Stegostoma tigrinum: one gene and its partners. The protein of the gene in region 1 interacts with the protein of each later gene in a pairwise test. Links are inferred from orthologs where the notes say so. Each region holds a gene or a part of one and is shown on either strand. Other genes may lie near its edges.

Region 1 (10,709 bases):
ACCACCTCTATTAAGGAGGATTGTCACAAGCCTGACTCTGGCCCAGGCTCGAAATAAAGGTGTAACAGGCAGAATCATACAGGTTGAAAACATGCTGACCAAGTTTCCCCAAACTAGCCCTACTTGTTTGGTTCATCCAAGCCTAACTCATGCAATTCACTGGATGGGCACATACACAGTTTGAACATCTACCACTTCATTCATGTACCAATCACCTTCTGGTATCACCCCCAGGTTCTTTTAAAGCAAGAAGACTTCCCTAGTCTCCAATATGCCTCAAGTTGCAAACTTTCCTACCCTAGACAAAGGAACTTTGTTGTTATTCACCTTTTCTAGGCCCCTCATGGTTGACAGACCTCTACAAGGTCACACCACCTGTTTCCCCTCCCCAACACATCCATTTCTCCACGGAGCAAAGTTCCAGCCTATCCAAGCTCAGAACTCAAATATTCCATACCAAGTAAAGTCCTTGTTAATCTTTTTCTACATGTTCTCCAATTTAATGCCCTTCCTACAAGGCATGTGACCAGAACTGTACACCACACTCCAGGAGTGACCTCACCTACATCTTGTGCAACCTCAAGGCATCCCAACTGCTATTTTGGAGTGATCAAAACAATGAGGAGAGACATGAAGGCTGTTGAAAGAGGGACGACAAGTAGACAAAGCTCTTGGCTAAAATAAGCCTTAAAAAGGTGAGGGTGGGGCAGAGAAGGTTCAGAGGACAGTTATTTGGAAAGGTGACACTGGTACAGATTAAATAAATAGAGCCAACAAACTATAGCTATGTACCTTGGAAAAGCTGTTTAAACTGAGCAGTTTACAGTAGCATGATGGACTGGTGATACAAAGCAAGGCAAAGTTGAACACAATACAGGAAAAGGTGGCAAAGTTTTTGGTCAAATCATACAGCTTTGTTTAGCTACAAAACATTGTAGCTTGATGCAAGCCAGTTACAACTGAAGTCTGTTACTTGATGCAACCATTCCTACTGCTACCCACACCAGGTACTTAATACAAGTGGTTACAATTCAGCAAGGCTCACTTAATAGGACAACTGTCAACAATTCCAGTAACTACAGCAAAGGTAAAGAGTCGCTTGCTTAGAAGCAATTTGCCTCCTTTTGGCAAGTGTAGGAGTTAGATCAGAATACTCCTTTCAAGTGGTAGCTCTAGCGAGAAAAGCACTGTTGGCAAAGGCCAGCATTCATTTTGCTGGGCCTGGCTTGTGAACTGCCTCAAGCTAAGGAGGCTGCAAAACCAAAGGGCACTCCAAGTACAGGATGAAAATTTGCATAAGTGTTCAATTCCAATCACGAGCTACACAAGACTGAGTGCTACACAATTTTACACTCTTCCCACAGATGCTGTCAGACCTGCAGGCTTTCTCCAGCCATTTCTACTCTTGTTTCTGGTTATACAGAGCACTGCTAAAGATCTTCAAAAAAGGTGATTCTAGCCTGAGATTAGATTAGCACATTGCAATCCACAACTTGATCAGTTGAAAAAGTGATCACTACCTGTTGCAGTATTCTTTGAACATTGGAAACAGTTTAAGACTGAATATCATACAAGGGCATTCGATACCCTTGCAAGCCCTCTCCTGCTAAGGAGTCAGTCTCAAACAGTAATTTGCTGTCTGCTGTTAAAAAGGCTAGAGTCTCCATGTTGGAAATATTCTAATTTAAATTAGAAAGGAGGGAGGTCAAAAGTAACTTAATTTAAGATTTTCATTGACTGCAGTTAGAATGCAAGGGATCAGGGTCAGAAGGGACATTATACAGTATCAAACAGTATGCAAATATAAGTGCTATCACTCACTGAATGCAGTATTGGTTGATCAATACTGCATCAACCAACTTACAGGAGGTTTAGGCTATTACATGATGGCTAAAACCTATTTGTTAAATAACTGCATGGATTTTGCATCTAGATCAAATTCTCTAATCACTTCCTAGCAGCAGCCCTTTGGACCTCATTGTGCAAGTCTGAATTGAGTAAGCTTGTGTATTTTTGAAATTTAGTTATCAGTACTTAGTAAACTAAAGTTAAAGTATCATGGGATGCATGCGTAGACACTCCAGGGTAGAAGTCTGATCCTCCGAAGTGATGTTCTTAGCAAAGAACTTCATAGTTGACTTGATAGTAGGAACTGCCAATACTGGAGAATCTGAGATAACAAGGTTTAGAGCTGGATGAACAGAGCAGGCCAAGCATCAGGAGAGCTGATGTTTCGGGCCTAGACCCTTGATCAGAAATCCCCCCTGAAGACTTGAGCTGAAACGTCAGCTTTCCTGCTCGGTTTGGTGTGTTCATCCAGCTGTACTGTACACCTTCATAGTTACCTATTTCTTGCTCCATGTTTCAACATGGAGCAATGGTATGAAGCATCACTACAAATTTAGTTTAACCAAATTAAACTAGTTTCCCATAGAAACAACACCCCATAGCTTAGAATGGCAAGTTCTAAACACGTGACTAGTTACAAATCAGACCCATGTTTTAGCGGTATGGGCAGCTGGTTATTTAGCACCTCCAAGGAGAAAGCAGATTGACACATCTACACAAAAGTGCTTTATTACAGATTTACACAGTCTCCTGCTTGCCCACTCACCTGTTTATAAACTGTAAGAGGCAAGTGACAGTTTAAACACTGTCAGTCAACTTTCAGATCAAACTGAATATGATGTCAATTTTAAGGGAGAGCAAGATAAACTCAATTTTCCCTGGCAGGGCATTGATAGTTATTGAAAGCCTTGCTTTTTCACATTCCATGCTCCTATGTCACCAGCTCAAGTAACACCCAGTTAAATTTGTTAAAAATGCCACTAGTAAGTCAGTTGGAATGTAACTTTAAACAGGCTAATTTATAAAGAGTGATACTTAGGGTAAGTTAGCAACTGAAGAACCCACTGTTTAGTTGCCCAATTTAATACCTGTTAAGTTACTGGAAAACCAATGCATTCTAACATCTTCAACTGTATTTAGATACCAAGTGTGAAAAATACACAAACTATGAAACAAAGTTGAGAAACACTACATAGGAATTAAAGATAAATACAAACAATTCTATTCAAGAATCCAACATATCTACAGCTAAAGACACCACTAAGTACAAACAAACCAAACGTTTAAAATGATCATATCTTAATTGATGAGTTGAGCCACTATCAAGCCCATTTTGGAAGCATAACTCAACATTAAAAATTACAAGCAAAGTTACAACTGGTTGAAAAAAGTTCAACTGTCTCACTGCTAGCTGAGAACATGGTCATGGGTTGCACATATAAAACAAGTTATTTACAGTACAAGAACTCAAATTTCAGTTTAAAACACTGAAGGGTCATTAAGCAATTGTCCCACTTCCACCTCAGATTAAAAGACAGGCAAACATTGGTGGGGTGGAAGCCTGGTACTGTTACCATTAGAAACATCTGCACTAGGCTCCATTTGGCAAAAAAAATCATTCATAGCCTGAACTCACTCCAATTTATTAAAAAACTAAATGAGATGGGCACCATCAGCATTCGAGGCCTGCAGTAAGGTAGAGCTTTAAACTAGGGGTGGGGTTAAAGAAGACAAGATTTTTTTATAAACCGTGCAAGCATTCACACATTTCCTCATACGGGCGACATTGTGAAACGGTGCCACGGTGTAATCCAAGGTTGAACCTCCACCCCCACCGATAATATTTCAAAGTGAAAAATTACGGCGAAATTGGGGGGGGGGGTAGGTTTGCAAAACGAGAGATATATAGAGAGAAGCAAATCCGGGGGGGGGATTAGGAATAATCTACAGGCGGGAGGGAGGTGGGGTCGAAGATTAGAGACGGGAGCGCTGTATGCGGGTGGGGATGACATTTACCCAGGGCTCGGTCTGAAGCGAAGGCCCATGTTACGGGGGGGGGGGGGGGGGGGAAGAAGAGAGAAGGTGTAGAGGTCAGGAGATGCAGGGGCGGGGGGGGGGGGGGGTGTTAAAATTTTTTGTTTAAAGTTAAGTTAAAAAAGAGAAAAAAAGTCATCGTTTACTGACGGACTGATTGAGCGAGTTACCTGCAGGTGCTCCTGGAAGCGGATGGGCAGGATCTGAGCCATGTCGACAGACGACGCTGGCGCTCAGCGGGTCCAAAAGGAAAGAAAAAACACACCGAGATCCTCCGGCGAGAGAATAAAAAACCAGCCAGGGAAGAGAGAGAGAGAGAGGCGAGTAAGTGCGGATCTGTGTGGGGGGAGAAATAATAAATACAAAAAAATATTATTTCTACATCGAATGACATCAGCCAAGAGGGAAATGTTCCAAAAACCCCTCCCTCAGACGGAAGGGGGTCAGGGGGAAAGCCCGTTATCACCGTGAAGGGAGGAGACGCCCTCTCAGAGACTCACCTGAAGCTGCTGCCCTTCCTGCCGCCCGCCTCCCCTTTTATAAACCGTCAACGGGGCCCCCACGGAGCCGCAGCGGGAGCCGCAATGGCGGAAAACCGGAAACGGCGGAGCGCTACCCCTGCACCCGGTGACACGCCCCTCCACCCAGACCGTCAGATCAAAGCGAGGTGAGGGGGGGTGGGGTCACTTCGGCAAGCCCACCCGCTGTGTAACTAAAAAAAACAACAGACAACCCCCACACGCCCGTCCACCCCTTCGCTCATTGCAACCATATACGAGTAAAACTTGGTCTTTCGGGTACCGCCCCCCTTCAGATTTGACGGCGAAAACTGGGAAGCGGGGGTGGGCGGAAATGGGACTTTTTTCGGTCGGCGGAGAGTTTTCCTTCGGGCGGCCACATCATTGGCACATGATTAAGCATCACTTCCGCCTGGGCTTCCGGGTTTCTCCACCTTCCGCCTTCAGCTCCTCATTCATTGCAAAGGCTGGCCCTGCTGTATCTGCAATGATGGAGGGAAGGTTGTTGTGTCCTCTCTCTCGGCCTTTTGGAGATTTTTAAAATATATTCCAGCAATAAAATTAGTGCATTCCCCAAAAAAAAGTGTATGTGTGAGTTCATACAAATAAATGAAGTAGATTTTATCTTTCATGTCCCAGTCTTTAATTTTTGGAACAGAGGACATTCCATGGAATGATGAAGTCACTTAAGGTACGGGGAGGCCATTCGCTCCATGATGACTGTCTCAGAGCACTTCAGTCTCATTCCTCTACCGTAGCCTCATAACCGGGCAAGTTTATTTCCCTCGAGTCCCCATCTAATTTCCCAGAAGGAACAAATCAGCTTAGCAATGAAAAGTAACACTTGGAAATTAACAGAGATAATGGGAACTGCAGATGCCGGAGAATTCCAAGATAATAAAATGTGAGGCTGGATGAACACAGCAGGCCAAGCAGCATCTCAGGAGCACAAAAGCATCTTCGGTCCGCCTCCCCCTCTCTCCCTATTTATTCCAGTTCCCTCTCCCCATCCCCCTCTCTGATGAAGGGTCCAGGCCCGAAACGTCAGCTTTTGTGCTCCTGAGATGCTGCTTGGCCTGCTGTGTTCATCCAGCCTCACATTTTATTAACTTGGAAATTAACACACTGATTATCTGTTTTGAAGAGTACAAGTTGAACAAGTGTATCATATCCAGTTTTGCTTTCTGGGAAGTCATCAATCATTACTTAATGATTTTCGGGATGGTTGAGGATGTTGGGTTGACACCACAGTCACATCAGCTATGATCTTACTTATTGGCAGAGCTGGCTTGAGATCTGAATGACCTACTCCTGCTTCTCATTTATATGATGATATGCAGTGTGCTATATGTAGCTATGCTGAAATGGTTTCTTGCTCTAGAGAAAGAAAAATTGGGTTGATATTAAATTACATGATCACCTCTCAATGACTCAAGCTGTGACTCAACAGTTCTTAACTCTGGATGACCTATTCTGGGAGATTTCACTTCATGACCTCCAACTTTCCACTACTGCTTGACCACACTCCTTCTGTTGGTCATTCAGTGTGTCAATCATTACACACAACCCTTTCCCAAAGTAACAACGTGTGGAGCTGGATGAACACAGCAGGCCAAGCAGCATCTTAGGAGCAGGAAAGCTGACATTTCAGGCCTAGACCCATCATCAGAAATGGGGGAGGAAAGAGGGTTCTGAAATAAATAGAGAGAAAGGGGAGGCCGATTGAAGATGGATACAGGAGACAGACAAGTTAAAGGAGCAGGGATGGAGCCTGTAGAGGTGAGTGTCGGTGGGGAGGTAGGGAGGAGATAGGTCAGTCTGGGGAGGACAGACAGGTCAAGGGGGCGGGTTGAGGTTAGTAGGTAAGGAATGGGGGTGCAGCTTGAGGTGGGAGGAGGGGACAGGAGAGAGGAAGAACACGTTAGGGAGGCGGGGACAAGCTGGGCTGGTTTTGGGATGCGGTGGGGGGCCGGGGAGATTTTGAAGCTTGTGAAATCCACGCTGATACCATTGGGTTGCAGGGTTCCCAAGCGGAATATGAGTTGCTGTTCCTGCAACATTCGGGTGGTATCGTTGTGGCACTGCAGGAGGCCCAGGATGGATATGTCTTCTGAAGAGGAGTTGAAATGGTTCGTGTCTGCGAGGTGCAGCTGTTTATTGTGAACCGAGCGTAGGCGTTCTGCAAAGCAGTCCCCAAGCCTCCGCTTGGTTTCGCCAATGTAGAGGAAGCCACAATGGGTACAGCGGATTCAGTATATCACATTAGCAGATGTGCAAGTGGACTTCTGCTTGATGTGGAAAGTCTTCTTGTGGCCTGGGATGGGGATGAGGGAGGAGGTGTGGGGGCAGGTGTAGCACTCCCTGCGGTTGCAGGGGAAAGTGCCGGGTGTGGTGGGGTTGGAGGGGAGTGTGGAGGAGACAAAGGAGTCATGGAGAGAGTGGTCTCTCCAGAAGGCAGACAAGGGTGGGGAGGGAAAAATGTCTTTGGTGGTGGGATCAGATTTCAGATGGTGGCAGTGTCGGAGGATGATGCATTGGATCTGGAGGTTGGTGGGGTGGTATGTGAGGACGAGGGGGATTCTCTTTTGGTTGTTATTATGGGGACGGGGTGTGAGGGATAAGTTGCAGGAAATGCGGGAGACGCGGTCGAGGGCATCCTTGACCACTGCGGGGGGACGTTGTGGTCCTTGAAAAATTAGAACACCTATGGGAGTGGAATGCCTTATCCTGGGAACAGATGTGGCAGAGGCGAAGGAATTGGGAATAGGGGATGGCATTTTTGAGGGAAGGTGGATGGGAGGAGGTGTATTCTAGGTAGCTGCGGGAGTTGGTGGGCTTGAAGTGGATATCGGTTTCTAGGTGGTTGCCCGAGATGGAGACAGAGAGGTCCAGGAAGGTGAGGGATGTGTTTGAGATAGTCCAGGTGAACTTGGGGTGGAAGGTGTTGGCGAAGTGGATGAACTGTTTGAGCTCCTCATGGGAGCACGAGGCGGCGCCGATACAGTCATCAATGTAATGGAGGAAGAGGTGGAGTTTAGGGCCATACAATTTTAACCTTTCCCAAAGTTTTCATTGTGTCCTGATTTTGACTTTTGTGAGTTTGGTCATGATTACACTGAGGCAAGTGATTAAGGCTTGCACCAGAAAGATAGCATCTTAGAGGGTCAAGGTTTTGGCACAGAGTGTTAAAGTTTATGCCCTGTACAAAAGTAATGCAGTTTCAATCAACGGATGGGAATCAGAAAACAATCCTAACAGGTTTGGAGTCATGCAGAGCTGTGCTCTTTCCTGTGATCTATGTGTTGGATAGAACCCTTTTGCCAAGTCAATCAAAAAGAATGTGAAAATAAGAAGGGTGACCATCCAGGTAGTGGAGGCACTGAGGTCAGAGCTTTTCTGTAGGTGGGCAATGTCATCATCTTCTGCTCAGTTCCACTGACGATGAATAGACCGATTTGAACTTGAATCAGGAGGCAAGATAAATTGAGCAAAGAGCAAGGCCACGCTTTTTGGGAACTGAGCCAACTAAACCTTTGTTCTTCATTGTCGGGTCAGATTACCTGAAGATGCTCGGATATGGTTTGGAGGGGCCAGGGTACGTGAACAAGTAACTGTTATAAAACAAAGCATGGGTACAGAGGAATGATGCTCCCTCTCCGTTGCAGGTAAGAACCTAGTCATCAGTTGCTGTGCTCTCAATGTTGCAGGCCTGGCCCATTCTTCACTCCTGCACCACAGTGGTCACCTGAGATATTTTCCACTTTATCTGGAGGTTGAAGAAGGACTATGCTCACAGAGACACACCCTTCATATGCAAATACAAATGTTTACAGGTTCTACCTGCCCCTGGGTGTTACAAAGAATGGGTCCATCCACATTGTTGTAGAACACTGAAACTAGATGGACTTTGCTGTATCACCTATCCCTCGTGGAGTAGTTTCTACCAAAAAAATTCAGGAAGTGGTCTTCACCTGACAGCCTCTCGACCTTGTGGCAAAGGGAGATGGCAGATCCTGTCAGATGGTTTCCATGTGTAAGCTGTCAAAGTCATTTGGTAGAATACTTCGCCGCCAGAACTAACAAAAACAAGCACCAAGGCATGGCTGGGTATGATGTGAGAAAGGCCCTCCCTGCCAAATCCTTCCTACAAACTCAGAATCTCGTCCTCCCACTGTATGTTGCAGTTGAGGTGTCTGTGGTGGAACAGAAATGGTTGTTCACCCCCTTACGGAATGTGTCTTGGTAAATATGGTCTGGAGAGAGTTTTTATCCCGAGCAGCTCCATCGCTCAGAACTCGACTGCCTGGATTGTTCCCAGTGATCCTCACTGAGACAAACCAATTGGGCTAGAAGATGATCAACTCAGTGAAAGATGAAGAGTCATCTTGACTCAACACATTAGCTTGCTGTCTTGCTATGAATGCTGTTTGACCCACTGTGATCATCAGCATTTGTTGCTTTCAGTACATATTCCAGTATCTGAATAATTTGCTCCTAATCAGGAAAAGATGCTCCTTTGGTCGGCCTGAAACTTGCTAGTCTTCCAGCTCAAGGACTTGATTTCAGCAGAGTGATGTAAACTGGCACATTCCAAGGTCTATGAATATGTGCGGAGTGATGCACTAAAGCTTGGGGCAGCCACTGCAGAGGCACAAGAGAATGTTCAAATCCACGTGGATCCACAAAGCATCCCACCCAGGCCCATTTGCTTATCACCCACCTCATCTGGGCAATTTAGCATGGCCAATCCACCTAAGGTGCACATCTTTGGACTATGGGAGGAAAACAGAACACCCAGAGGAAGCCCACACTGACACAGAGAGAACGTGCAAACTCCACACAGTCACCTGAGGGTGGAATTGAACCCAGGTCCCTGGTGCAGTGAGGCAACAGTGCGAGCCACTGTGCTGCCCAGAATGGTTGCTGTTCAAAGCATTTTCAGCCATTATACAATGAGGGCTGCGATCTGTCGAGATCCTCAGGTTCAATACCTGACAAGGCATGCACACTGTGAATATCGAGGGTATTGAAATTGTTGTGAGGCACCTCGGCATGGAGCATAGTGTTTGGAGAAAAGTTTGTTTTCATTGCACTTTCAGTAATTTCCAATTTGAAATGTTTTGATCTTGTGCTGTATACTTTACATGGAATATATTTGTAAATGTTAAGACTGTTTCAATTATATCAAGTGGAACACTCCATTTGGAGACGTTGAATTTTGTTGCAAGTTCTGTAATAGCCGAGTTGAGAAGTTTTGCCATGTAATTTGACAAATTTTATGAACAAAGTACATTTTTGAAAAAAAAATTACAGCTCATTGCGTAGCCATTTAATGGGCAGCACGGTGACACAGTGGTTAGTAGTGACAGGAACCCAGATTCGATTCAAGCCTTGGGGTGTCTGTGTGGAGTTTGCACATTTTTCCAACTCTGAATGAGTCTACATTTCCTTCCACTCTAAATTTTCTCCAGTTAAAAAGTCAGCAGGCTGCAGGCATTGGCTTTGACAGCAGCCACAAATTGTTTACTAGCCACCCCTTGCTAGTCACAGTCTCAGGTTGAACCGCACCACTCACAATTGGTGTCCTATTCGACCCTTAGGGCAGGGCGATTAGAGGTAAGCAATAAATGCTGATCTCGGCAGTGAAACCCACAACTCACATCCCAGGAACAAATTGGTTAAAAAATTGACCCCATATCGTCTCTGTTATAAAGACTGTCTGCTCCCATCATCTGTCTTCTCTCCTGCTTTAGTCCTATCTGTTGCAGCTCTCATTTTTATCTGTATTTTTAGTATCATCTAGGCAGCCTCCCATTATACTCCAAGAGAACTTGGCAGGGTACAGCTGCTATAAAGTAAAGGAAATTGTACCTTTACTCTGGTATAGCGACTGTTACTCTACATTTCAGAAGATCCCCCTACATTGGGGAGACGACATGCAGGCTGGGTGACTGCTTTGCAGAACACATGGGTCCTGTCTGCAAAAGCTGTATTAGAGTCTAAGATTTGCATCTTATGGATGTCCTTTACAAATGTTCATTATCAACAGCAGGGGAGGTGATGGCCTAGTGGTATTATTGCTGGACTGTTGCTATAGAAAGCCAGATAATGTTATGGGGACCTGGGTTCAAATTCTAGCACAGCAGATAGTGGAATTTGAACTGAATAAATATCTGGAATGAAGAGTCTAATGATGACCATGAACCCGTTACCAGTTGTTGGGAGAACGCATCTGGTTCACTAATGTCCTTTAGGGAAGGAAACTGCCATCCTTACCTGGTCTGGCCTACATGTGACTCCTGACCCCCA
Region 2 (10,411 bases), on another chromosome or scaffold:
GTACCATGATGGAGCTAGGTTCGGTGAATATTTGAGGAAAAAATGCAGGGAAGCTGCACTGTGATTTGGCTCTAAGGCAACGATATAATGGTTGGATAGAGTTTGAAGTGGGCAGCAGGTAATTGAGGCAGCTGGTCACGGAGGTACAAAAATCCTCAAAGTCCTCATCATTAATGTTGAAGATGAAGAGGGCAGAAACATAGAAATAGGACAATGCTATCCACCGCTCAAGCGTGTTCTACCAATCAACTAGATCATGATTCATCGGTAAGGTCAGTGTGTTTACCATCTGTTTTGTTCCTTACCACCGTTCCCTATCACTGTCATTTTGTCCAACTGTAAAATTTAAAGTACTCTGTATTCCTCTAATTTTATCCTCTAGTGCACTTCTGATTTCCTTTGCTTCACTATTGGTGTCTATGTCTTAAGTTGCTTGGGATCTAAGTCTGCAATTCCCTCTCTAAACCTCTCCATTCCTGCATCTTTCACTTCTTATTTCAGATGCTCATAAACCTATCTCTTTGGCTAACCTTTTTTTTAATCATCAGTCTTAATATCTTCCAAGGTGGCTCAGTATCAAAATTTGTTTGGTATATTGTTGTAAAGTGCCTTGGAACATTTTTCTAAGTTAAAAATGCTACATAGGAGCAAGTTGTTTTTATTATTGCAGATACCCTTACCTAATGACTCAATACCAGGCTTGTACTTTTAAACTGACCACAACTTTATGGGAAACATGATTCTGGAGATTTAATTCTCAAAATTGAACACAGATCACCAGATCAGATCTGTCTGTAGCTCTGTGCAACCGAAATATAGTTGCGTACTTTTGAATTCCTAAACCTCTTCAAATATAGGTTAACAGACCAATATCCTTGTTGGTTTCTTTTTGTATTTGTGCACATTTGTATTCGATATTTATGATGAGAATAGAAAATCCCATTGTTCCAATTCAGCTTTTAGTCTGTCAACATGAAAAAATATTCACATTCTTATTTCTTAGATTCAAAGCGGATGATCAAATATCTTTGCATCTACCGTAGTTTTGCCCAATTCATCTAGATGATCTCTATTCCTAACTTATCATCTACACAATTTACTGTGCCTTCAAACATCCTGGGTGGGGGGAATGGAGGCTGTATTAATATGAAGAGTTTGGGTTACAGCCCATGATAATCTTAGAGTAGTGAGAGTATTTCCTCAAGGAGAGAGTTGAACAGTGCTTTACATCAATGTCTATCAAACTGGGTTCCACAGACAACTGGGGTCTTATAGAGGTCTGCAAATTAACTGAACAGTAGACAAATGGTTGTCACATAGAAGCCTGGTGTAGCTAGGGAACAGGAGCACTGCCTGGTTGCCATGCACATGGCACAAACAGGGATGGCGGTGTGTCCTTGGAATGAAGCGCACTAAGAATTATTGAGAATGGCGGAAGAGCACCAGAAAACCTGCAGTCACCAAGGTTGGTAGTTGTTTAATGGCGAGATTAAAAGTCATTTATGTGGTTTATTTTAATGTCACATTTCTTTTTTTATGGAGTTTGCTCGTTTATCAAATTGTCATGTTTGTGGCTTCCTGTCAGAACTGAAAAGTTCGAGACGTAATGACATTATGCAAGCCCAAAACAAAAAAAATCTGATCCACTGGGTAGAAAGATGCCAGAATTCTTGGGTATTGATTTTACAACAGGTAATGACAGATTCTAAGATAGTAGAAACTGCAGATGCTGGAGAAGCATCCTTAGAAAAAGCTTCACAGTGGGGTTAAAATTGTTTTAGAGATAGTAGGAAATGCAGATGTTGGAGATGCTGCTTGGCCTGCTGTGTTCATCCACCTCTTCACCTTGTTATCAATGATAGTTTCCAAATTGGGTTTAAGCTGATCTGACATTGTTGTTGTTGGATCTGAAAAGGTTAAGACCTACTTGCACCACTCACTGTGATGTTGTTGTGGGGATTTGGTTGGAAGTAAAGTAGGATTTTGTGCAAAACAGATGTTTAACTGATCATCCTAAAAGTTAGTGTAATAATGTAGTGTTTATTATTACGTGTAGATAGTTGCAGAGATGTAATGAACTATGTATTGTTTAATGTACACAATGCTTCTTATAAGACTGGAAGTGTCTATTGTCACATTCACTAAATGGTGTCACCCCAAAGAACCCACACACATAGAAAATATGAATGTCGGAGTATATATCATACAACAGCAAGGCGAGACCTGGTTACAGAGTGGTGTTAATGCTGGTATTACACCAGGCAATGACAAGTTTCTGAGCTTTGGAATTGCTGATATTACACCAAGAAATGATTGGTTTTCAAGTTTTTTTTAATATGGATATTACATCAGGTAATAACTGGTCATTGAGTTATTTAAATACGAATATCATACGAGACAGTGACTGCTCACTGTGTTGAGCTAATGCTAATATTACCCCAGCAGTGACTGGACATGAAGATGCATTAGTGCTGTTATTACACCAGGCAGAGATTGGTCACTGTGTTGAATTAATTATGTTAATACACCAGGTGGTGACTGGTAACTGAGTTGAGTTAATGTTGATATTGTACCAGGCAAAGCTGCTCACTGAGTTGTGTTGGTGTTGGTATTACAGCAGGTAATGCTGGTTAATGCAATTCACTGAGCTGTTACGATCAGAATGCCTCTGACAAAGGAGCTGCATAGGAGGCTGCTGAATATGATAACACCCCATAGTGTTGGGGTAAAGTGCTGGCATGGACAGAGGATTGGCTAAATGGCAAAAAACAGAGAGTGGGGATAAAGGAGTATTTTTCAGTATGGCAGCCAGTGACTATTGGAGTTCCACAGGGGTCAGTGTTGGGACTACAGATATTCACGTTACACATTAACCATCGAGTCAAAGGAACTGAAGATTTTGTTGCTAAGCTTGCAGATGACACAAAAGTAGGTGGAGGGACAGGTAGTGTTAAGGAGGTGGGGAGACTGAAGAATGAGTCAGACATGTAGGCAAGACAGCAAAGACATGGCAGATAGAACACAACGTGGCAAAGTGTGAGGTTATTTATTTTGGTAGGAATAAAAGAGCCATAGACTATTTTCTATTTGGGAGAAGTTTTGGAAATCGGGAGTGCAAAGATACTTTGGAGTCTTAGTTCAGGATTCTCTTAAAGTTAACATGTAGGTTCGGATGACGATTAGGAAGGCAAACACAATGTTGGCATTGATTACAAGAGGGCAAAAATATAAGAGCAGAGATGTCCTGCTGAGGCTGCATAAGGCTGTGGTCAGGCCACATATGGAATTTTATGAGTGGTTTTGGACCTAAATCTAAAGAAGGATGTGCTGGTTTTGAAGTTGGTCGAGAGGAGGTTGACAAGAATGATCCCAGGGATGAAGGGCTTGTCATATGAGGACTGGTTGAGGACTCTGGGTCTGTACTCAATGAAATTTAGAAGGATGGGAGGGATCTGATTGAAACTTAAAGGGTACTGAGAGGCCTGAATAGAATGGCCATGGAGAAGATATTTCCATTGATCGGACAGACTAAAACCTGAAGGCACAGCCTCTGGATGAAGGGAAGACCCCTTAGAACTAAGATGAGGAAGAATTTCTTCAACCAAAGGGTGGTGACTCTGTGGAACTCATTACTCCAGAGGGCTGTGGAGGCCAAATTATTGAGTGCATTTAAGACAGAAATAAGTAGGCCCTTGCTTAGCAAAGAGATCAAGGGTTATGGGGAGAAGGCAGGAAAAATGTATCAGCCGTGATCAAATTGAGGAACTGATTTGATGGGCTGAATGGCCTCATTCTGCTCCTATATCTTATGTCTTATTATGTCAGATAATGCTGCTCACTGAGCCTTGATGGTGCTGGTATTACACCAGGGAAAGCTGCCCACTGAATTATGTTATTACTGGTATTTCATCATGTAATCCTGGTTAACACTGCTCCCTGAGATGTGTTGGTGCTGGTATTACAGTAGGTAATCCTGGTTAACATTGCTCACTGAGCTGTGTTGGAGCTGGTTTACGCTGCTCACTGAGCTATGTTGGTGCTGGTTAATGCTAATTATTACTGGTCACTGAGAGGTGTTGGTGCTGGTTCACGCTAGTTAACCCTGCTCCCTGAGCTGTGTCCGTGCAGGTTAGTACTGCTTAACCGTGCTCCCTGAGCTGTGTCGCTGCTAGTTAACCCTGCTCTTTCAGCTGTGTCGGAGTTGGTTAACCCTGTTCCCTGAGCTGTGTTGGTGCTGGTTAATGCCTGTTAATCCTGCTCCCCACACAGTGTTAATGCTAGTTAGTGCTGGTTAACTGTGCTCCCTGAGCTGTGCTGGTACTGGTTAATGCTTGTTAATGCTGGTTAACTGTGCTCCCTGAAGTGTGCCAGTGCTGGTTAACTGTGCTCTCCACACTGTACCATTGCTAGTTAGTGTTGGTTAACCATACTGCCTGAGCTGTGCCAGTGTTAGTTAGTGCTGGTTAACTGTGCTCGTTAACCATGCTCCCTGAACTGTGCTGGCACTAGTTAGTGCTGTTTAACCGTGCTCCCTGAGCTGTGTTGATGCTTGTTAACCATGCTCCCTGAGCTGTGCCGGCGCTAGTTAGCGCTGTTTAACCGTGCTCCCTGAGCTGTGCCAGCTCTAGTTAGTGCTTGTTAACCATGTTCCCTGAGCTGTGCCGGCACTAGTTAGTGCTGTTTAACCGTGCTCCCTGAGCTGTGTTGATGCTTGTTAACCGTGCTCCCTGAGCTGTGCCAGCGCTAGTTAGTGCTGTTTAACCATGCTCCCTGATCTGTGCCGGCGCTAGTTAGTGCTTGTTAACCATGCTCCCTGAGCTGTGCCGGCACTAGTTAGTGCTGTTTAACCGTGCTCCCTGAGCTGTGTTGATGCTTGTTAACCGTGCTCCCTGAGCTGTGCCGGCACTAGTTAGTGCTGTTTAACCGTGCTCCCTGAACTGTGCCGGCGCGAGTTAGTGCTGTTTAACCGTGCTCCCTGAGCTGTGCCGGCGCTAGTTAGTGCTTGTTAACCGTGCTCCCTGAGCTGTGCCGGCGCTAGTTAGTGCTGTTTAACCGTGCTCCCTGAGCTGTGCCAGCGCTAGTTAGTGCTTGTGAACCGTGCTCCCTGAGCTGTGCCAGCGCTAGTTAGTGCTTGTTAACCATGCTCCCTGAGCTGTGCCGGCGCTAGTTAGTGCTGTTTAACCGTGCTCCCTGAGCTGTGCCAGCGCTAGTTAGTGCTTGTTAACCGTGCTCCCTGAGCTGTGCCGGCGCTAGTTAGCGCTGTTTAACCGTGCTCCCTGAGCTGTGCCGGCGCTAGTTAGTGCTTGTGAACCATGCTCCCTGAGCTGTGCCGGCGCTAGTTAGCGCTGTTTAACCATGCTCCCTGAGCTGTGCCGGCGCTAGTTAGTGCTTGTTAACCATGCTCCCTGAGCTGTGTGCCGGCGCTAGTTAGTGCTGTTTAACCGTGCTCCCTGAGCTGTGCCGGCGCTAGTTAGTGCTTGTTAACCATGCTCCCTGAGCTGTGCCGGCGCTAGTTAGTGCTTGTTAACCATGCTCCCTGAGCTGTGCCGGCGCTAGTTAGTGCTGTTTAACCGTGCTCCCTGAGCTGTGCCGACGCTAGTTAGTGCTGTTTAACCGTGCTCCCTGAGCTGTGCCGGCGCTAGTTAGTGCTTGTTAACCGTGCTCCCTGAGCTGAGCTCGCTGGCCAGGGAGTGCGGCTGCGCGCTGTCAGTTTCCGGCCGGGGATGGAGCGGGTCTCGGTCCGAGCCGCTTGGCCGTGCGGCCTGGGCCGGTTGCGGGTCTCGGTCACTGAGTGCGATTCGGATGATGGAGAGGTCGCTGCCTGGTAAGGGGGAGATCAGGGATCGGTTCGTGGTCTCTGCGGGGACCCGCCGGATCAGGGCCCCGCTCGGTGGGGAGACTGGGCCGGAGCCCTACTCCCACTCCGGGGAAGAGGGGTGTGTGCAGGCCCGGCGTTAGTGTAGTGCATCCAGCCCCTCACTGCCTCCTTCTATCGCGAGCCACTGGACTATAGACAAAACGTAGACACTAATACAAATCTTTTTAAAAAGACTGATCCGCTGTTTCTTCTCATTGTGGATTTGATTTTTTTAAACAGAGTCTTGCTATTGTGAGTTTATTTCGCCGCCGCTGATGCCACAAATACCGTCAAAATGCCTATGGTATCCCTTAGAACCATTGGCTATTTAATCGTTAATCTGAATGTAGGTGGGACTTACCCATGGAATACCCACCACAGCAGATTCTGTAGGCATTGCCTGGGGAAGCTGAATTTTCCACTCGCCCTGCTTAAGTGGCAGACCGCAGACGGTTCTGGTGAAATTAAGTAAAACTTACTTGGGCAACGTTGTGACGATTAAATTCATAGCCTAACTCCCAGCTCCTGATGGCTGACCCATCTTACTGCCTGTGGTGGTGCTGCTGAGTACTTTGGCTGCTTGTCACACATGACTGATTGAAAATCCAGATGTTGTTAAACAACTTTCCAGATTACTAGCACACAATAAAATTGGATAATAGACATAAATCCTGGGGTTTATTATCTTTATCTCCATTCATTGGTGGTAACAAATACACTTTAATGTTTTGTCTTTTTGGTAACATAATAAGCAATGTGATTTTGATGATTGGTCAGTTCTTTGTGATATAAAGTGATGTTAAATGTAGTCTACTTTTGCTACTCTCAAGCCTTGTCTGCCATTCAGTTAAATTATTGCTGATCTGCTGCCTCAATGCCACTTTGCTAAGCTATTCCCATATTACATTATGTTTTAAATATCAAAACAGCCATTACTTTCTGTGTTGAATGTATTCAATAATTGACCTTCCACAGCCCTCTGGAATACAGAATTCTGAAGATTCATCACCCTCTGAGTGCAGATATTCTCTCTCATCCCTATCATAAATGGTCCACCCCTTATAATGAAACTGTCTCTGGGTTCTAGATTCACTGGCCAAGGGAGGCTTCCCACTGACAATTACCCTTGCTCGTTTCAGATAAATCCCTGGGGCAGGCTGGATAAGAGTAACTTTAATGCTTTCTCTAGCAATCTTTTAAATCGCCTCCATTGACCTAATGCAGACTTTAACTTTTGTTAGCCATGTTTGACTCACCCTTTTTGTTGGTTTTGATGTCTTAGGGGAAGGTATATTTATGGTAAACATGTAATATTTATTTAAATATTAGCTATTACTTGCTTACCTTAAATATTTTCATATATTTTCCCATTCCACCATAGTAACTTATTCTCAAAAGAACTAGGAGGAGGAATAGGAAATTCAACTCCTTGAGCCTGTTCCACCATTTAACACAACCATGGTTGATCTCATCTCAGCTTCAACTGTCCTTTCCTGACTGTTCTCTAAAACTCTTCAACCCTATGCTAACTAAAAATCCATCTATCTCCTTAAATTTGCTTGACGTCCCAGCATTCCCTCTTGTCTAGGGTTGTGAGTTCCACAGATTCATGACCCTTTGAGAGAAGTAATTTCTCCCATCTCAGTTTTAAATCTTCTACCCCTTAGCCTAAAACTATGACCTCATGTTCTAGATTGCCCCATTTAAGGAAACATCCTGTTTATGTCCACTTTGTCAGTCCACTTCAATATATACCTCAATTTAGGTTTCCTCTGAGTCTCTAAACTCCGGGAGTACAATTTTATTGAATTGCAAACGGCATGTCGTAATTGTGAAGTATTTGATTTAATCAGTATTCAATTTTCACTTCATTGAAAATGTTGTGGTATACCAGAAATATAACACTATTTGAGATGGAAAGACGAAAAGAAAATTACAATAGGCTATAACTTTGAAATAAAATGTTTTACTTTAAGTTAAAGGTGACATTGTTCCCTTTGTTATGATTCAGTGCAGAACTTGTTACTTTGGAACGGCCTCAAACCAATACTGTGGAAACTCCATGTATACTCTATCTACGGTTCTCTCCTCAACAACCTGCTGACATAGTCTTTGTAGAGGTATGGAGCGAAGCAAGAATGATGGAGGTTTACACAGGAGAGTACTGCGGAACAAGCCGTGGCCTAAGACTAGACAACCTACATTTAAATGGGTAACGTTGTTTTAGCTCGCAGTATTAACCTCGAATCGGCAGTCAGCAGACTAATAGAGTTTGTAAAATATCAGCTGAGCACTCTAAATGATTATTATAAATTTTGCCATTAGTTAGATTCTTCTGATATTTCTCAAAGGTCCAATTCACTGCCTTTTAAATTCTCTAGTACACTGCCTATGAAACAACCAGAATGTCATTTAAAAAAAGACCATCTGACCTACTAGTGCTGCTTTTGGGGGAAAAAAATCTGTCATCTTTAACAGTCTGGCTTGTGTGATTCCAAATCCATTGCAATATACTTGATTTTTTTATGCTGTCTGAAATGGCTAGCAGACCACTCAGTTCCAGACAAATTCTCACAACCTTCTTGAGGACAATTAGGGCTGAGCAAGAAATGCTGACCTTATCAGTGTTGCCAAAAACACACACAGTAAAATAGGTCCACTTGCAGCTATGTGTAGGAGGATACAGTGGTTTATAGGAAGCTGTTTTTCAGTGTACAGTTCCATTAACAGATTGTTTACATTTAATGACATATTTGTTACTGTTAGACAATGGTTTGGTTTAAGGGGTGATGCTATGTGATTGTGTTTAAAGATCGAGACTAATGCTGGATAGTTTTGCTGTGCCTCCAAAAAGGTGATCACAACACTTCCAAATTTAGGCCTATTTAATAATACTAGTGCCCTATATACACAGTCCAAATTCCTTTGCTGGCTTTAACAACCAATTTTGCATCTATGTCAGTACAGGTTTAAAAAAATAGTCAAGGGAGAGACATTTCAAAACTTAGTCAAAGAACCATGACTCTTCGTTTCCAATATTGACAGATCTTGCATAGAGTTCTTTTCCTGCAATTACTGATTTAGATTCCAACAGCAGCTACTGTGATAGAATTCTGTCTCCAGGTAGGAGAACCAACACTAACTTATGGGAACATTATCACATGTTAGGCAAAAGACTAACAGTTTGGTATAATGCTTGGATTTGAAGGGATGTCTTAAAGGAGTAAAGAGAGGATTAAGGAGGAAATTCCAGAATTTAGGTCTGGAGTGGCTGAAGGTACAGCCACCATTGTGACACAATTAAGCTTAAGGCTCTCAAGAGGCCAAAATTATAGAAATGGAAGTATTCAAAGCATTTTGGTACTGTTCTGAGAATATGGAGCTAGCGAGGGGTAAGACCTCAGCAGGATTTGCAAAGAAGGATGACAGTTCACTTCAGAGAAACAGGGATCACTATGGTTGCAATTGCTGTCCTGGAACTATTGACATTTTGAATATATTTATTTTATATTTTGTATATATCTTTTGTCACTAAGAATGCATCTGTGTTTAAATTGCCTTTCAGTGACCATGAACAAATCTGCTTATTTAAGAAGTATTTTAAGTTGGATATTCCTAGTTCATCCTGTGAACTAAAGGTAATTTGTTGAGTTATTTTTGTTTTCTTTGCACTCATTGTGTTTTACTCTTGTGAATCTTCTGACTAATATCCTATTTTTAGCTGCTGTCTTTAGGTGGAAAGGAGAAAGTACGAATTGGTAAAATATTGCTGGGAATAAAAAATGCTTCAGTTGGGATCTCGAGAGGCTTTTCTCCATTAGGAAAAAGCATCGACATGGAACGAGTACAAACGATGATGGATTCAATGGGAGCAAAGCTGTCACCTGGAGCTCAGCAACTCTTTAGCATGGTCCAATTTCAACAGAAGGTGAGTAATGCATTGGTCAGCATAAAGACTTGAAAAAGACATGCTGACTGCAGTAAAATAGAGTTCAAGTTTTTATAACATGCAGAAGAGGCCTTCTGACTCATTATGTCCATGTCAGTCGGTGAACATCCATCTATTCTAATTCCATTTTCAGCACTTGGCCCATAGCCTTACTTACAGCAGTTTCCTGTTTCAGAATTATAAATACCGGCTCTGGACTTTCATCACTGGACATTTTTGACTCCATGTCCTTTGAGATATTCTATAAATCTTTAGGCCATTTGCACTAATATTGCTTTATTTGGTTCAAGATTTACTTTTGTTTTATAAACCTACTGTGAAACACTTCAAAACATTTTATTATTTTACAGACACTGTGATTTTGTAAACATCCAATAAAGACTACGACATGCCTGAACACACAATAATTAAATACCAAGATACGATTAAGAAATATAATGAGTCTGTTGAATTTTAGCTTGGTGAATGATTCCCCATGAGATTTGCATTCTATTCTTCACGACATAAACTGTCTGTCAAACAGCTGCGTTGCAAGCTTGGTAGTTTGTATTTTTATATAAGACTAATTCAGTGTTTACAGATCAATAATATGAATGGTACTGTGT
Region 3 (10,532 bases), about 35 Mb from region 1:
GAGTGGGTGGGGAGTGGCGTGGCGGGGGAGTGGGGGGGGGTGGGTGGGGAGTGGCGTGGCGGGGGAGTGGGGGGTGGGTGGGGAGTGGCGTGGGTGGGGAGTGGCGTGGCAGGGGAGTGGCGTGGCAGGGGAGTGGGGGGGGTGGGTGGGGAGTGGCGTGGCAGGGGAGTGGGGGGGGTGGGTGGGGAGTGGCGTGGCAGGGGAGTGGGGGGGGTGGGTGGGGAGTGGCGTGGCAGGGGAGTGGGGGGGGGGTGGGGAGTGGCGTGGCAGGGGAGTGGGGGGGGTGGGTGGGGAGTAGCGTGGCAGGGGAGTGGGGGAGTGGGGGGGTGAGTGGGGGGGTGAGTGGGGGAGTGGGGGGGTGAGTGGGGGGGTGAGTGGGGGGGTGAGTGGGGGGGTGAGTGGGGGGGTGAGTGGGGGGGTGAGTGGGGGGGTGAGTGGGGGGGTGAGTGGGGGGGTGAGTGGGGGAGTGAGTGGGGGGGTGAGTGGGGGAGTGGGGGGGTGGGTGGGGAGTGGCGTGGCGGGGGAGTGGGGGGGTGGGTGGGGAGTGGCGTGGCGGGGGAGTGGGGGGGTGGGTGGGGAGTGGCGTGGCGGGGGAGTGGGGGGGTGGGGAGTGGCGTGGCAGGGGGGTGGGGAGTGGCGTGGCAGGGGAGTGGGGGGGTGGGTGGGGTATGGCTTGGCAGGGGAGTGGGGGGGGTGGGGGGGGTGGGTGGGGAGTGTTGGGGGGGTTGGGTGGGGAGTGTGGGGAGGGTGGGGAGGGTGGGTGGGGAGTGTGGGGAGTGGGGGAGGGTGGGTGGGGAGTGTGGGGAGTGGGGGAGGGTGGGTGGGGAGTGGGGGAGGGTGGGTGGGGAGTGTGGGGAGTGGGGGAGGGTGGGTGGGGAGTGGGGGAGGGTGGGTGGGGAGTGTGGGAGGGTGGGTGGGGAGTGGGGGAGGGTGGGCGGTGAGTGGCGTGGCAGGGGAGTGGGGGGGGTGGGTGGGGAGTGGCGTGGCAGGGGAGTGGGGGGGGTGGGTGGGGAGTGGTGTGGCGGGGGAGTGGGGGCTTGGGTGGGGAGTGGCATGGCGGGGGAGCGGGGGTGGGTGGGTGGGGAGTGGCGTGGCGGGGGAGTGGGGGTGGGTGGCAGGTGGGTGGGGGTGGGTGGGGAGTGGCGTGGCGGGGGGAGTTGGGGTGGGTGGGTGGGGAGTGGCGTGGCGGGGGAGTGGGGGGTGGGTGGGGGGGGGCGTGGCGGGGGAGTGGGGGTGGGTGGGGGGGGAGTGGGGGTGGGTGGGGGGGGGAGTGGGGGGGGAGTGGCGGTGGGTGGGTGGGGAGTGGCGGGGGAGTGGGAGTGGTGTGGCGGGGGAGTGGGGGTGGGTGGGTGGGGGAGTGGCGTGGCGGGGGAGTGGGGGTGGGTGGGGAGTGGCGTGGCGGGGGAGTGGGGGTGGGTGGGTGGGGAGTGGCGGGGGGAGTGGGGAGTGGGGGGGTGGGGGGGTGGGTGGGGGGGTGGGGGGGTGGGTGGGTGGGTGGGTGGGTGGGGAGTGGGGGGGGAGTGGGGAGTGGGGGGGTGGGTGGGTGGGGAGTGGGGGGTGGGTGGGTGGGTGGGGAGTGGCGGGGGAGTGGGGGGTGGGTGGGGTGGGGAGTGGGGGGTGGCTGGGTGGGTGGGGAGTGGCGGGGGAGTGGGGGTGGGTGGCGGGGGAGTGGGGGTGGGTGGCGGGGGAGTGGGGGTGGGTGGCGGGGGAGTGGGGGTGGGTGGGTGGGGAGTGGGGGTGGGTGGGTGGGGAGTGGGGGTGGGTGGGTGGGGAGTGGCGGGGGGGAGTGGGGGTGGGGAGTGGCGGGGGGAGTGGGGGTGGGGAGTGGCGGGGGGAGTGGGGGTGGGTGGGTGGGGGGGGGAGTGGGGGTGGGTGGGTGGGGGGGGGAGTGGGGGTGGGTGGGTGGGGGTGGGGGGGGAGTGGGGGTGGGTGGGGGGGGGGAGTGGGGGTGGGTGGCGGGGGCGTGGTGGTGGGTGGGTGGGGAGTGGCGTGGCGGGGGAGTGGGGGGGGGTGGCGGGGGAGTGGGGGGGGAGGGGGGGGAGTGGGGGGGGAGTGGGGGGGGGTGGGGGGGTGGGGAGTGGCGTGGCGGGGCGACGGGGGAGTGGGGGGGGCGACGGGGGAGTGGGGGGCGGCGCGACGGGGGAGTGGGGGGCGGCGCGACGGGGGAGTGGGGGGCGGCGCGACGGGGGAGTGGGGGGCGGCGCGACGGGGGAGTGGGGGGCGGCGCGACGGGGGAGTGGGGGGCGGCGCGACGGGGGAGTGGGGGGCGCGCGCGACGGGGGAGTGGGGGGGGGCGCGACGGGGGAGTGGGGGGGGGGCGCGACGGGGGAGTGGGGGGGCAGGGGTCGTGGGTGGGGAGTGGCGTGGCGGGGGGGTGGGTGGGGAGTGGCGTGGCGGGGTGGGCGGGTGGGGAGTGGCGTGGCGGGGTGGGCGGGTGGGGAGTGGCGTGGCGGGGTGGGCGGGTGGGGAGTGGCGTGGCGGGGTGGGCGGGTGGGGAGTGGCGTGGCGGGGGGGGGCGGGTGGGGGGGGGCGGGGGGAGCGGGTGGGGAGTGGCGGGGGGAGCGGCGTGGCGGGGGGGTGGGTGGGGAGTGGCGGGGGGGTGGGTGGGGAGTGGCGTGGCGGGGGGTGGGTGGGGAGTGGCGTGGCGGGTGGGTGGGGAGTGGCGTGGCGGGTGGGTGGGGGAGTGGCGTGGCGGGGGGGTGGGGGTGTTGTTGGGGAGTGGCATAGCGGGGCAGGGGGGTTGTTGGGGAGTGGCATGGCGGGGCAGTGGGGGGTGGAGTGGTGGGAGGTGGGTGGGGAGTGGCAGGGAATGGCTGGGGTGTGGGTGGGGGTGTGGGGGGTGGGTGGGGGTGTGGGGAGTGGGGGTGTGGGTGGGGGTGTGGGTGTGGGGAGTGGGGGGGGGGGTGTGGGTGTGGGGAGTGGGGGGTGGGTGTGGGTGTGGGGAGTGGGGGGTGGGTGGGGGTGGGGGGAGTGGGGGGTGGGGGGAGTGGGGGGGGTGGGTGGGGTTGTGGGGAGTGGCGGGTGGGTGGGGGGGTAGTGTGGGGGAGTGGGGGGGTAGTGTGGGGGAGTGGGGTGGTAGTGTGGGGGTGGCGGGGGTGTGGGGGGGGAGTGGCGGGGGGTGTGGGGGGGGAGTGGCGGGGGGTGTGGCGGGGGGGGAGTGGCGGGGGGTGTGGGGGGGGGAGTGGCAGGGGTGTGGGGGGGGGGAGTGGCGGGGGTGTGGGGGGGGAGTGGCGGGGGTGTGGGGGGGGTGTGGGGGGGGAGTGGCGGGGGTGTGGGGGGGGAGTGGCGGGGGGTGTGGGGGGGGAGTGGCGGGGGGTGTGGGGGGGTGTGGCGGGGGGGAGTGGCGGGGGGTGTGGGGGGGGTGTGGGGGGGGGTGTGGGGGGGGGTGTGGGGGGGGAGTGGCGGGGGTGTGGGGGGGGGTGTGGGGGGGAGTGGCAGGGGGGTGTGGGGGGGGAGTGGCAGGGGGTGTGGGGGGGGAGTGGCAGGGGGTGTGGGGGGGGGAGTGGCGGGGGGAGTGGTGGGGGGGGGAGTGGGGGGTGGGGGGGGGGTGGGGGGGGTGGGGGGGGGTGGGGTGGGGGGGGGGTGGGGGGGTGGGGGGGGGAGTGGGGGGGAGGTGGGGGGGGGGGTGGGGGGGGGTGGAGATAGTCGGGGGCTTGGAGTGGGAGGGGAGTTGGGGTGCGGAGTCGGGGGGTGGGGGAAGAGAGCGGGTCTGAAGCGATTGGGCGATGGCCGGGACCGGGGATGGTCAGGAGGCGGGATGAGGGTGAAGGCAGTGGGCACAGTCTGTGAAGAGCGAGGCCTGAAGACGGGAGCTGCAGACACAGAGAGAGAGGTTTACGGGTGAAAAGACCGACCTGTGAGATTCCCGAGATGAAGCCGGGGAAATGGAGAGAGCAGAGATGGAACCACCCAGAGTGGGAGAGGCACTGTGTACCCGGAAAAACCGTCCCGGGGAGGCCGGGCCGGATGTGGGCGGGGGAACAGGGGGAGGAACGGACAGAGCAGGAGGAAGGAGCCTGAAGACAGACAGAGATTGTGTCTCGACCCCTCAGTTCCTCCGCCCTCTCCCCGGGGGTGGTCCCTCCTCTCCCCCCCGGGGTGAACCATCACCGCTTCCCCCTCCCCCGGGTGACCCTTCACTCCCCCCCTTCCTCATAACGGAAGTATCCCATCAATTGAAATGTTCTCGTAAACCTTTTCTCCACTAAAGGATTGACATTCTTCATTCGTTTTAATCAAAGACACTCCGACTAAGCTATAACCAATGTCTCACACAAGTTCTTCATTATCGTCTTGTTCCTGTACTCTATACCCCTATTAATTCAGCCGAAAGTAATGTAAGTTTTATTAAAAGCTCTCTACACCTGTCCTACCAGATACGGCTTACATACATAACGTCCAGGTTTCTCTGTTCCTGTGCTCCCTTTAGAACAGTGTTCTTTGTACCAAGGCGCATTACTTCTCACTTCTCTGCATTGAACTTTCTGCTACCTATCCACGCAATCCATTGGTTTATCTATGTTCTTTTGAAGTTCTACACTGACCTCCTTGTGGTTTACAATTCTTCCAAATTTTCAGTCATCCACGACACTTTCAAATTGTCCCCTGCACATCAAGATCTGGATCGTTGATATGGATCAGGAAAAGCAAGGGTTCTAATAACAATCCACGAAGAAGTCCACTACAAACCACCTTCCAGCCTGAAAAATACCGATTAACCAAAATTCTTTGTTTCCTATTCTACAGACAATTTTGTATTCATGTTGCTACTGACTTTTTTTTCCCTTGTTCTGTATCTTTCCTCACAGAACTGTTGCTTGGTGTTGTATCAAATGCCTTTTGGAAGTCTGTGCATACCACAACAATTTTCCCATCATCAATCCTCTCTGATACCTCTTCAAATAACTCCAGCAAGTAACTTTGGCAAGATTGTCCTTTAATAAATCCATATTGAGTCCTCCAAACCAATGCACATTTTCATTGTGGTGAGTCGTTCTATGCCAAATAATTGCTTCTACATGTTTCTTCATCACTAGAGTTAAATGGAGTGTTCTGTAATCAGTGGACTGACTTAAACAACAATGTTCAACAAAGGCATGAAGTTTTCAACTCTCCAACCATACACCGTCACTGAATGTAGGAAAGACTGAAAGATCATTGAAAGCGCCTCTGCAATCTCCACTCTCCATTCCCTCAATATCCCAAGGCCTAATCACGTCTAAGTAGTAATAGCTTATCCAATACCACCTCACTAATTTCAAACCCTTTGAGTGACTGAGTTCCCTCTTCTGTCACCGTGGCCTGGGCAGTATCTGCCTCCCTGGTAAATACAGATGCAAAGTATTCATTCATTATTCGCTCCAGCCATGCCTAATGTCTCTTAAGTGTCAACTCTTTTTTTATCCTTAGTTGGTCCTACTCCCCTTTTTACAACCCTTTTACTATTGATGTATTTGTAGAAGATTTTAATAATTATTTTTATATTACCTGCAAATATTTTCTCATAATCCTTTGTTGCTCCTCATGTTTGGTTTTGCATTGTCAGTTCTGAACATTCTGTATTCTGTCTGGTTCTGAATTGTATTTACCTGAGCTATAGAGAGACAGTAGGGACACTTAAAGATCAGAGGTCATTTTTGTGTTAAATCTCAGGAGATAGGAGAGATATTAAATGAATGTTTTGTGTCAGTGGAGAAAGAAATGAAAGAAAGGAAATGAATATTGATGTTTTGAAAACAGTTCACATTACAAAAACGAAGTGCTGGAGGCCTCAGAAAATATAAAGGGTGGATAAATTTTCAAGATCTGTTCCAATGTATCCCATGATGTTGTAAAAAGTTAGGGAGGAAATTGAGGAGCCCCTTGCGGAAATATTTGTGTCATCTATAACTATGGGGTGAAGTGCTGGATGATTGGAGAGTGGCTAATGTGCCTTTGTTTAAAAGGGAATGTATGAAGAAGCTCGGGAACTATTGACCTTTGATTTTGACTTCAGTGGTGGGTAAGTTGTTGGAGGTGATTCTGAAAGAAAATTTACGTGCATGCAGAGAGGCAAGGAATGATTAGGGATAGTCAGCATGGGTTTTGTGCGAGGGAAATCACGTCTCACAAACTTGATTGAGTTTTTTTGAGGAAGTAACCAAGAAGGTTGATGAGGGCAGAGCAGTAGATGTTGTTTACTCGGACATTAGAAAAGCCTTTGACAAGTTTCTGCATCATCGGCTAATTAGTAAAGTGAGATCACATGGGATTCAGAGAAAGCTTGCCAATTAGATGTAAAACTGGCAGGAGGCACAGAGTGGTGGCGGAGAGTTATTTATCAGACTCTTTGCACTTTACCAGTTCTGAAGAAGGGTTACCAGACCCGAAACATTAACTCTGTTCTTTTTCTTCACAAATGCTGCCAGAGCTGCTGAGCTTTTCCAGCAACTTTGTTTTCGTGTCCATTACCTGTGGTGTTCCACAGGAATCGGTGCTCGGTCCACTTTCGTTTGTCATTTATTTAAATGATTAAATGGTAATTAAGTTCACAGATGACACTAAAATTGATGGTACTGTAGACAGTGAAGAAGGTTATCTAAGATTACAAATTATCTTTTGGGTCAGCAGGCTGAGGAGTGGCGGATGAAGTTTAATGTGGATAAATGTGAGGTATTGCATTTTGGTAAAACAAACAAGGGCAGATCTTACACAATTACAAGTAGGGACTTAGGTAGTGTAGAACAGCAAGCCGTAGGGAGTCAGGTACACTCTCGACCTCCCACCTTTGCACTACCTGAAGTTCACCGAGTCCCACTGTCTCTGCACTTCCTTAAACTGCAGTGACCACGTGCTATCGTGGGACGACTAGGTGGGCGGGGCTTCACTACGGGCGCGGAACGTCAATGGGCGGAGTAGAGCAGCTCCGTGCCTTTGAGTGGGCGCGGCAGCACTGTCGGGCGCGTGCATTGGGGTTGCGCGGCGACCCAGTGGGCGGAGCATCGCCGTGGCGGTGTCCTCTCAGTGGGCGGGGTTGCCTCCGAGGGCGCGGCGAGCGGATAGGCGGGGCGCCGTGGTGGGCAGGCCCTATTCCGTCTCGGATCACGCGGTGGGTGGGGTCATCCGCCGGTTGCCCCAGGAGACGGTGCGGCCATGGCGGAGCGCGGTGCTCACTTAACGGGCGGCCTGGCTGTCAGCCCGGGCCGGCCGTCCATCTTTGAGGTGGTTGCTCAGGACACGTTGATGTCGGCGGTCAGACCCGCCGCGCAACATGCTTGCAAGGTGAGGCTCGTACCGTGCCCTCCCCAGGAGGAAGGGTAGGCAGAGGGTCCTTGCCGCCTCCGCGGATTGGAATCGGAGGCGCAGCTGCCGCTGTCCCAGGGGGTTAGGAGCAAGGGCTGCAGGCTGGCCTAAGGCCGAAAGCGCCTCCGGATGGAGGCCCAGAGTCAGGTACTTCGGTCGAAGATGACCCAGAGGTGACTCACTCTTCAACTCATTTCCGAAAAATAACGACCTTTTCTTTCTTGACTAGAACCACAATGTTAAAGACAAAAGCATTATTTGTCAGTCTTCCACATGTTGTTGCAAGTGCAAATTCACCCTTGATTCACAGTTAGGAATTATGGTGTAAACCTGCTTCACATGTTCTCTGATGATAAAATGTGAGGCTGGATGAACACAGCAGGCCAAGCAGCATCTCAGGAGCACAAAAGCTGACGTTTCGGGCCTAGACCCTTCATCAGAGCCTCAGAGTTCATCTAGCCTCACATTTTATTATCTTGGAATTCTCCAGCATCTGCAGTTCCCATTATCTCTCACATGTTCTCTGATTCTGACAGTACTTTTAAGCTACTGGATTCTCCAGCTGTGTTGACCAATGTGGTACAGAGGGAGGCAGTAAGCTGTAGAGCTGGATGAACACAGCAGATCAAGCAGCGTCAGAGGAGCTGGAAGGCTGATGTTTCCAGTTTAGACCCTTTCTGGATCATTTCTGAAGAAGGATCCGGACCTGAAACGTCAGCCTTCCTGCTGCTGCTGCTTGACCTGCTGTGTTCATCCAGCTCCACACCTTGTTATCTCAGATTCTCCAGCATCGGCAGTTCCTACTATCTCTGATAGAGGGAAATGAAGGAAGTGTAAATTGAACATCAAGCCACTTGTCGAATCAGAATTGAGTGAACCATGTATGTTTATTCTCTGGATTCTTTTTAAATTAATCCCACAGGGACCAAGTATGTTTTAATGGAATTGAAATGAAGATGCTGTACTCGAGCTTAACCTGAACTTCAGTTGATAGTTTTTGCATGGTTGTGATCTCAGCAATGCGAGTCTATATTGAGTCATGGAAATAAAAAAAAGAGATTACTCTTCAATATAATCCCATAGGTTCCAGTTGTGCACATAATCATTAGACGAACACACCATTCAGGAGTCAAAATAGAAATATGGCCCATTTAACACTATTGTCGCAATAATGAAGTTGACTGATCTTAGCAACGAATCCCGATGAACAAATCTGCAACATGCCCAGAAATGGTTGAAGTAAAACTCCAGTGGTATCCTGCTTTGGAAATCATGGATTCAAACACTTTCTTTAGCTGCCCTTAACATATCTGAACATTTGAGGACTTTTCATTTCATTAGGGAGTATTACACACCAATTGGTTCTGTTTTCACCTGATTCTTGTACGTGTTCAGTGCTGAGGTAAGGGACAGTGTTAGGTTTTGATTATGAATGGTAGGTGTCTTTTCCCTAGGATGGGCGTTGTCAAGATAATGGGGCATATCTTAAGGTGAGAGGAGAGAGATTTTAATAAATACACGGGGTGACATTTTTTTTACTTCAGAAGATGGCTTGCATGTGGAAGGAACTTCCTGAGGAAGTGTTGGATGTGAACACAGTCACACCATTTAAAAGACACTCAGATAAATACCTGAACAGGAAAGATTTGGAGGAATATAGGCCAGGAGCAGGCAGATGGAACTAGGTTAGTTTGGGATTATGTTCGGCGTGGACTGGTTGGATGGAAGGGTCGTGTTTCCATGCTGTATGTCTCTAAGAATGCGACAGTTGATGCTAGAAGCCAGGATACCCCATTCACTGTATGCACAGTCGCGTTTTCACACAGGGTTAAATTTGTACTGTAATCTAGACAGGATTAGCAAAATGCAAACCAGTGAGCTCTTTGTGAAAAGCATTTAGTGATATTTCATTTGAAATTATGCAAGGTGTGTGGTGTTTTTTAAGACCCTGAATGTTACTGAATTCTAACAATGTGCACCATTATATTTTTTGTAAAATATATATATATACAGAGACAAACAAATTGTCCACTGGGGAAAGGGAACATAAGTTAGTACGTTTGCAAGTCAGCACTGAGAAGTGGAATAGGGAAGAACATATTTCTAAAAGACGTAAATATAACTGTAGAGTAAGATATCAGGGAATAAAATTGAAGTCAATGTGTTCCATAGATAACTGGGTGTTCCTGAAGAGGAGGGGATTAAAAGCCATAGTGTGACGGCAAATAATAAAGGGGTGCTTAATGTTAATAGAATTTAAAAATGCACAAAAATCCAGGTTAACTGGTCTATATTGGCTTTCCTCCAATCTCATTTCCGTGATCTTTCATATTACTTTTTAAGGATGCTAAGATACCTATGTGGAAATGAGCAATACTAACTTCTGACAGTCAGTCTACTGACTGACATCCTGGCACAAGGCACAATGTTTTGACAGAGCATATGTTTCTGTTCTAGGTGCTTGCGGAATCCAACCCCAGTCGCTATGGGTTTCTATGGCGATGGTTCGATGAAATCTACGTGCTGCTAGACCTCCTGCTTGAGCATCACTATCTGTCCAGGACCAGTGCTTCCTTCTCTGAGAACTTTTACGGTCTGAAAAGAATTCCATTGGGTAGTGGTCACGGACTATGGAGATTAGCCAGTCTTGGGCTCCCAAGAACCCAGCACTGGAGATCCCTGCTGGTGGTAATAGCTGTTCCGTACATAAAAGTCAAATTGGACAAACTGTTTGCTCGACTGCAAGAGGAGGATGACTATGCAATACATCTCCCAGAGTCCTCTTGGAAGCGTCTTTATAAGGCCTTCCTTGCAGCCTATCCTTTTGTGAATATGAGTTGGGAGGCATGGTTCCTTATCTACCGGCTCTTGTACGTCTTCGAGAAAACACAGTTTCACTCACCGCTGTTGCGAGTGGCAGGGGTCCGTTTGGGGAGCCTCACCCCTGCAGATATTCAGGACTTCGAGAAAAAATTCTCTTCTATTAGCAACCATTCAGCCAGTGAAAGGTAAGCAAAGAGCTTTGAAAGGCTGTGGTCATCAGGAATGTAAGATCAGGATAGGCTACAGAATTTGAGTGCATTCTTTATTCTTTAAGATGGTGAAAACTTTAAGGTAATAACTTGCAGATGTAAAAGTACCAATGAGAATTGACAAATCATTCTTTGTGGTGAAGTTGCAAGTGTTGGGGAAAAGCAGGTTAAAATATTAGGAATGAAAGTAGAAGGCTGAGAGTTACTTGAAAGATTCCT

Evidence for each region.
Region 2: the proteins of cltcb (region 1) and c20h10orf88 interact in binary tests that used the Homo sapiens proteins (3 or more experiments, as listed by UniProt). The link is inferred for Stegostoma tigrinum from reciprocal best matches to the Homo sapiens genes CLTC and C10orf88.
Region 3: the proteins of cltcb (region 1) and ap2b1 interact in a two-hybrid assay, tested with the Homo sapiens proteins (2 studies listed by BioGRID, with this or other methods). The link is inferred for Stegostoma tigrinum from reciprocal best matches to the Homo sapiens genes CLTC and AP2B1.

Annotation. Positions count from the first base shown.
Region 1 is NC_081380.1:42,414,022-42,424,730, reverse strand, and holds the start of cltcb (clathrin, heavy chain b (Hc)), read right to left. Parts: upstream 4,520-10,709; 5' UTR 4,383-4,519; intron 4,219-4,382; 5' UTR 4,095-4,218; coding exon 4,053-4,094; intron 1-4,052. UniProt on the Homo sapiens protein: Clathrin is the major protein of the polyhedral coat of coated pits and vesicles. Two different adapter protein complexes link the clathrin lattice either to the plasma membrane or to the trans-Golgi network.
Region 2 is NC_081373.1:28,388,695-28,399,105, reverse strand, and holds the start of c20h10orf88 (ATPase PAAT), read left to right. Parts: upstream 1-5,691; 5' UTR 5,692-5,723; coding exon 5,724-5,824; intron 5,825-7,868; coding exon 7,869-8,069; intron 8,070-9,422; coding exon 9,423-9,495; intron 9,496-9,578; coding exon 9,579-9,785; intron 9,786-10,411. UniProt on the Homo sapiens protein: ATPase that regulates mitochondrial ABC transporters ABCB7, ABCB8/MITOSUR and ABCB10. Regulates mitochondrial ferric concentration and heme biosynthesis and plays a role in the maintenance of mitochondrial homeostasis and cell survival.
Region 3 is NC_081380.1:7,249,239-7,259,770, reverse strand, and holds the start of ap2b1 (AP-2 complex subunit beta), read right to left. Parts: upstream 3,961-10,532; 5' UTR 3,855-3,960; intron 1-3,854. Other genes in the region: pex12 (peroxisome assembly protein 12), read left to right, coding at 7,132-7,260, 9,739-10,289. UniProt on the Homo sapiens protein: Component of the adaptor protein complex 2 (AP-2). Adaptor protein complexes function in protein transport via transport vesicles in different membrane traffic pathways.